Coturnix japonica: one gene and its partner. The protein of the gene in region 1 purifies or fractionates together with the protein of each later gene. This does not show direct contact. Links are inferred from orthologs where the notes say so. Each region holds a gene or a part of one and is shown in the gene's direction. Other genes may lie near its edges.

The links.
Region 2: the proteins of NOD1 (region 1) and RIPK2 purify together in Homo sapiens (affinity purification with western blotting; 4 studies listed by BioGRID and IntAct, with this or other methods). This does not show direct contact. The link is inferred for Coturnix japonica from reciprocal best matches to the Homo sapiens genes NOD1 and RIPK2.

What each region holds. Positions count from the first base shown.
Region 1 is NC_029517.1:37,977,520-37,981,172, forward strand, and holds part of NOD1 (nucleotide-binding oligomerization domain-containing protein 1), read left to right. Parts: intron 1-1,278; coding exon 1,279-1,362; intron 1,363-1,991; coding exon 1,992-2,075; intron 2,076-3,653. UniProt on the Homo sapiens protein: Pattern recognition receptor (PRR) that detects bacterial peptidoglycan fragments and other danger signals and thus participates in both innate and adaptive immune responses.
Region 2 is NC_029517.1:112,519,151-112,522,803, forward strand, and holds part of RIPK2 (receptor-interacting serine/threonine-protein kinase 2), read left to right. Parts: intron 1-296; coding exon 297-346; intron 347-677; coding exon 678-839; intron 840-3,653.

The sequences.
Region 1 (3,653 bases):
AGTCTAAGTACCTGAATGAGGTTTAAGTGGTGCATGAACTTACTGGCCTTTGCCATGAATTAATTTGCTTGCATTAATATCAAGCTTCTTGGTATCTGGCCTTTTATGGGCTATAGCAGTCATGCTGTGCCAGTGTCATTATCTCAGCTCTGGAATAGCCCAGATTCACCTGAGAAGTTGTTTCACTTGGGAAGTCCTGGAACTTCTCCAGATATGTGTTTGGCCATACACAGCAGTGACTTAACAGAAAGGTAGATCATTAACTGATAGTTTAGTTGTGACCACAGCAGAACATAGAGGTAACTACAGTAATAGCAACTGCTGGTGTTAATATAGCAACCAGCAGCCAGGGATTGTTGGGTTCTAGGTGCTATTCTATCCCTAACTTGCTTTGAAACCACATAATTCCTGCTTGAAATATTTGCAGGATTTTGAAACCCAAGAGCACTCTGGTTCTGTCACTGCTTTGACAGGGTGCTGTGTTAATTTAATCTTCTAACTTGCACTAGGAAAAAATGCTTGTTGGAAGACAGTTTCTGTCAGGCTTCCTAGTAAGCCCAGAGATGGTTTTGAGATAGAGTGTGTATTCATGTGCCTGAAGTCAGTCAGACAAACCAGACAAAAGTTTTAATTTATGGAAATATAGCAGCTTGAGGGGTTTTGGGTTTTGTTTTTTTACAGTAATGTGTAAGCAATTGAGACTTACCTCTGTCTTGAACTCCAACCAGTTGATATTCCCATGCAGGCCAAATAATAGATTCTATAGAGCACCAACCACTGGTGCTCTGATCTATGTCAGTGCCTGTAGCCAGTGCTCAGAACAAAAAGACTTGAAATTATTAGTCTGTGCTTATCAGCTGCAGTCTGCTCTCGACTTGCGCTACCAAGAAATGTTCTGTTCCCTGTGGCATCATAAAATGTGCTGCATGTAATTCATGTACTTTGCAGCAACAGCTGGTATTATGAGCTGTATTAAAAGCTAGACAGGGAGCCTTGCTCTGAAGATCAGTTCCTAGGGCTTTTTTCTGACACACTTAGCACCAAAATCAAGACTTTGTAGTAATATGTCCAACTTGGAGGGCCAACACACAAAATATGTTTTCTCTTAATTGAAGGTCAAATGCCTGCAGTATTTTTTACTCTAGGTTAATCTTTGATAACTGTAACTAGCATCCAGAATTAATTAGCCTTAAATACCTGTATTGTTTCATGAGCTGGTGTTGTAATAGCTGTACTGTTGTAAGTGGTGTACCTCATCAGCTCTTGTATTTTATGCAGGATAGGAGCAAACAAAATAACTAGTGAAGGAGGGAAGTGCCTTGCCCAGGCCATCCAGAAGAGCACAACCATGTTTGAAATCGGGTAAGTTCAGTGCTAAGGAGAGTCCTGATAAATCTGTGATCTGTGAGAATATAAAGGAATTCCACATCATCCTTCTGTCCTAAACTGGAGAGCTTGCTATTGCTGGAGAGAGGTCATAATGAAAACATTTAGTCCGTGCTCTTTCTTAGGATTGATGCTAGATGCGAGAGTTTGACTTGTTCCCTCTGGCAATCCCCATTTTCTCTTTCCACTCTGCAGGAGAGCATTCTTCTTAGAATGTAATGCTGAAAGGAATTAAAGCTTTTCTTTGGCCATCATCACAGTAACACTTAAATATGAAAATCGGGTTTGAACGATCAGATTTTGGCCTTTTATTTTTGTTCTAAAAGATTTCACAAATATAATTAACATCACGCACACTTCTGTTGTCTCCCAGAGTTGCTCCTGTGCTGTGGCCTTCTGGTACTGGTGGGTTAGAGAGATAGATGGTGCAGTGTGCAGGGAGCAGAACAGGCCTGGCTCAGTGGGATGGTACATGCCAGGCTTCTTGCAGCTCTCAGAGGCTGGGGAGTAATGTTGGGGGATGAATGGGGAAAGGAAAAGAGAATGCAGGCTGAGGGGCAATAGAGCATTGTGTCTGATATCTCCTGGTTTCCTGTCTTCACTAGGATGTGGGGCAATCAGGTTGGAGATGAAGGTGCAAAGGCATTTGCAGAGGCCCTGAGGAACCACCCCAGTCTGACAAACGTGAGGTAAAACAGCAGCTGAACTCGCCATGGAGCTGCCTTTCCCAGTGCTCTGTGAAGCAGTGGCTCTTCAGACCTTGGGCCACTATCTCGTGCCATGGTCATTGGCAATTGACTCTTGGTGCAAGCAAGAGGCCAGGTTGTTTGAATTGAAAAGCCCTGTGCAGCCATAAAGCAAAATAATTTTTTTGCATAAATTTTTCTTATTATCCAACCTGAACTGAGTAATGAGATGTAGTTCTCGCTGGAGTTCAGTAATTAGACTCTAAGTAGCCCTCTGGAGGCCTTAAAGTGGGTGAAGTTGGCAGCACAGTATGGAGTGCAAGCAGCACTGTAAAACCAACACCTTCCCTGCTAGGATTACAGATCCTGACTAGGGATTTATAGGTGTGGATTGTGGCTGCTGTTGATGCGGAGTTCATCCATCCAGCTGGAGCACTGGGATCGTTCTCTTCCAGTTCCCCCGGCCTCCACGTGAGGGAGGAGAGGAGGCTCCTGGCTTTCCCCACTAGGTGGCACATGGCATTGGTTTCTGAAGCAGTACCGGACTCAGGGATCTCTCCGGAGCTGCCATTTCAGAGCCTGGGATTTCAGAGCTGGTGCCTTGTCCTCCTTTCAGTGAGCGAACAGCCAGGCTTAAAAAATTAAAAGCTGAACAGGTGCAATGACCTAGATATATTTAAACTTAAAAGCTACCAGAAGTAGCCATCTTCCCCTAATTGCAGAAGCCATCCAGCTGTATCAGACTTGAAAGAGAACAGTTGGAATCTGAATCAAAGCTGTGTTGCATCTGGGATTCTCAGACAGATACGCTGATGAATGTGCTTGCAAAAATAAGGAGGAGCAGCTTCAGGCTAGAGCCAGGTTTTGCTGGCACCTGCACAAGGTGCATCTTCTGCTCTGCAGTGTGATTGCACTGGGGTTCACTTCTTGTCTTCCAGTGGATAATCCTGCCCCATTATTTGAATGCACAGACAGTACCAGATAACTGTGGCAGCTTTATGCAGAGGTGAAGGAAAGCTGGGCCCTGATACAACATTTTACTTCTGTGTCTTTGCCATGCTTAGGCTGAGAATATATGGTTTCAGCTGAAGCTGGGAATACTAACACATATGCTAGACCTTAATTGATGCCATTGCTCCAATTCGTCCCCTTTTTGCCTCTTTTTTGAGGCCATGGGCTATTTTCAGGCTCTGGCCTGTCTTCTAAGGATGGAAATGCTTTTTGAACTCTCAGAGCCTGAAGCATAAGTTACCTGGGTGATTCTGCCAATGTCTATTCAAAGAATGAAGGGCAGACTAAGAAACTTTGTGGTTTATAATGGAAAACATGCATTTACAGGCTTTTATCTCCCTGCACAACAGAAGGTATTGTGTTTGGAAGGGGAATGGAGCATTTAAGTGTCTGAACACCTCACTTAAAGGAAAAAGTGCATGGTTTGTAGTGGGAATTGGGATGACAAAGGAGCATACAAACCTATAAACTGCAAAGCACCAAAGCACTTTGCTAAGGGCCACAGCTTTCAAAATCACAGCTACAGCTCTGCTGTCAGTCCCAAAAGTCAGTTTGCTCTCGCTGACCACA
Region 2 (3,653 bases), about 75 Mb from region 1:
GTTGGATATCAGGAAAAGCTTCTTTACAGAAAGGGTTGTTAAGCACTGGAATAGGCTCCCCAGGAAGGTGGTTGAGTCACCATCACTGAATGTGCTTAAAAACCATTTGCTTGTGGTGTTCAGGGGACATGATTTAGAAGAGGGTTGTTAGAGTTAGGATAGTATGGTTAGGCTGTGGTTCGACGTGATGAACTTGAAGGTCTTTTTCAACCTGTGCAATTCTATGATTCTATATTATTTCAGTAAGTGTTGGTAATCTAAAATAATGTCTTCTATACTTTTTACACTTTAAACAGTTTTGCAATTATTATATGGGAAGTGATGTCAAGGAAACACCCATTTGAAGGTAAGGCCATGTTTTCTTGTAATTTATTTTTCTAGCTTTAGGTGTAGGCTGTTCCAGTGACCTGGATTCCTCAGAACTTCATTTCAGGGATTGCTTCATGATAATCCTATTTGTGAACCTGTTCAAGAAGTAATTGAGTTACTTCTCAGATTTGACTCTTTTTCAAATTATAATATTGATAAGAAAAAAATGTATTTGAATTCTTTTAAAAGAGGAAAGCCTTATTTTGGTGAAATGTAAATATTACGACTGCAATCTTAATTATTCTTCCTACAGTGAGCTATTTATTTTGCATATATTTCTAATGAAAGCACGATGTCTATTTTGACAGAAGTTATAAACCCCTTGCAGATAATGTATAGTGTGTCACAAGGACAGCGACTAGACTTAAGTGAAAAAAGCTTATCAATGGACATTCCGCATCGAGCTCTTGTCATAAGATTGATAGAGAGTGGATGGGCACAAAACCCAGATGAAAGACCATCGTTCTTAAGTAAGTTTACTTTGCAAAATGAATACAGTTCTTAAAATTGCCAGCTTTTTGTCTCATTTATTACATATAGAGTAAGGGTGTAGTTGCTAAATGGAAATGACAAAAATGTCAGAAAATTCATCTCTGCTCAGTCAAATTGTGTGCAATTCTTGTCTGGTTCCAACATGTGTATCAGCTAATTTTTACGAACGGAGCTATGTGTGCCATAATAACAGTTTGTTAGTTGGAGTCTCCTACATGTGCCGTCTCTTGTTGAAGGGACTTTTTTATTTATTTACTTATTTTCAGAAGAGGGAGGAGAATGAGTGAAATACATAGAGTGCTGTGGGTTTTGTAAGAGCTGGCAAAGCAGCAAATCATTGCACATCAGATGAGCTGCTGTAACTTCACTTTATTTCTGTATGTTTGCATGGATGAATCTTTTTCACTCGAACTTTGATTGTTGAGGCCACAGAGGTACCTTTTAATCTTTCTGTAGTTTCTTGTCTATATATAGGTAACTTCAGCCTTTTTCCAATGAATTATGTAATTTAGAGCTGAAGATTGAAGAGTGAGCTTGCAGAGATTAGCATGGCATGTTGTTAACTAGAGAAATTCTGTTTTGAAATCAAGCCTGGGTTTGTCATGCTTAACAAGCATGTGCACTGAGCCTAGATATACTCCCTATACCAGTTTCTCCCTAATATGAAAAGCTGCTAAATATTTTTGTGATTTCTGGCTCTGTGTGCAACAGCAGCTCTATAAAAACATAGGCTGAAAGTCATCACCAAGTTTTTAGTTGTGAAATCTTATTAGGGTTGGCATAGTCACCAATAGAATCATAGACTGTCTAGGCTGGAAAAGAACTTCAAGATCATCCAGTCCAACTGTCATTATGATCTATTCCCATCATTAAACCATGTCTCTTTGTACCATGTGTAAAATCTCCCTGATATGAAAGGAGTATTTCATCCATCCTCTTTATCAACAGCAATTATAGTATCTTGTTTTTTCTTTTATCCTAATCCTTTTATCCTCGGTATAAACAATATGTTTCATTACCTGAATGCTCACGTTTCACTCTTCTAGCTTTTGCTGTATTCTACCCCAAGATCTGGTCTTCAAACTCGATCAGATACATATAAGTGCTTTTGAAAAGCTTTTCTTTCACACAGTATATAATGTTTTAATTTGATGCAATGCTTTAAAATGGCTTATTAGCCTTGCAACCGATCTTCTTGATTCTTGCTTCTCTGCTGCCATCATGGCTTCAGTTCTCCTCCTGCCTCTTAGCTATTAATTATAATTCAAAATCTGGACTGAAAAAAATAAACTTGTCTTAGAGTTCCACATTATTTGAGAGGAAGCTGGGAATTCTGGGTTTGCTCAACAGTCATCTGCTAAACTTTTGGATTCTTTTTTGAAATAAACCTATGAGTTGTATATTGCTCCTTACAAGTAGAGTGGACATTAATCCAAGCACCTCATTTGAAGATTTGCTGAATGAAAGCTTGCTATTTTTAAACCCTTTATAAAACTTCAGTATACTAGAATAATGCTAATCAGACAGCTAAGAAATAAGTGGTTGTAACTTCACTCTTCGGACCAGTTTTGCAGAAAAATAGAACTAAACAGAATGCAACCAAACAGATTTATCGTCTTTATGTTCAAAGTTTGGAGTCCGAAAAGAGTTTTGTCCACTTTTGAAGCATTTTTTACTTTGCCATAAAAGTATTCTCTGAAATGTTAATTTATTTTGTATGAGTCTGGTTTATATGGTATTAAATCATGGACTGTTTAATTATTATTTTTTCCCTGAGTAAGTAAATCTATTTATAATATTTTTAAAAATAAAACAAGTAAACATGTCACAGTACTTCCTTTAGTATTCTTGCTTTCTTATGTCTGTTACTCAAAATAAAATGACAGCCCAAGTCTATGGTCACACAGGAGGAGTAATTACCTGGGATAGATGTACTGTATGAACTGTCTTTGGTTCTATGCAGTACCTGAATTAATGTGGTCTTTGAAGAGAACATGCGTTGCTTTCCCTTTACTATCATAAAAAGAATGAGGAAGTTAGAAATGTTTTTCAAAATTAAGGGAAGTGAATTTCACTGATTGGGAAATTTTGCATTCACCACAGCACAGGGAAAAAGAAAGTAACACCCAGCTTCTCCCCCCCCATCTCCCCTCCCTTCCTTTTTAAATATGCTTAAAATAGAAATGTTTTCTTAACTCATCTGTCCCTTATAAAGAACGGACAAAGACTATTTATTCCCCTGTTTCTGCATAACTTCTGTTGATTCTGTGGTCTTGGAACACGTACCTGCAGTTTAATTAAAATCAATAAAAACTGTCCTAGTACTTCATTGTGAAATGGAGTACCAGATTCTGTGTAAGCTGATGCAAGAGAACAAGAATCCCACTACTGAACGTATGTCTTGAAAGTGCCAGTTAAACAAGAGCTATTCTGGGAGAACTACAGTGAAACAGTAAAAACTATGGTAATACATTAATAAGATGCAGTGCCACAGGTTCCTACTACAGTAAATGGATTTTGATGAATCAGTGGAGTTCATAGGAAGTGCACTAGAAGTTGTTACCTGTTGTTATCCTTTCCTGAAGTTTGAGCACAGCTTCAAGGAGACATTTGTGTAATACCCACCTCAAAATGTGAAATAATTTGTTTTGGAAATCTTGTAGCATTGGGAAATGAGGGACCATCATGTAGACTGTCTCTTGATTATTAAACTGTCACATGGCTTCCTATGCAAGCAGATGATGTTAGCTTCTGCCTCTGAGCTTTCAGATACCATCACTTGTCTTATCCAA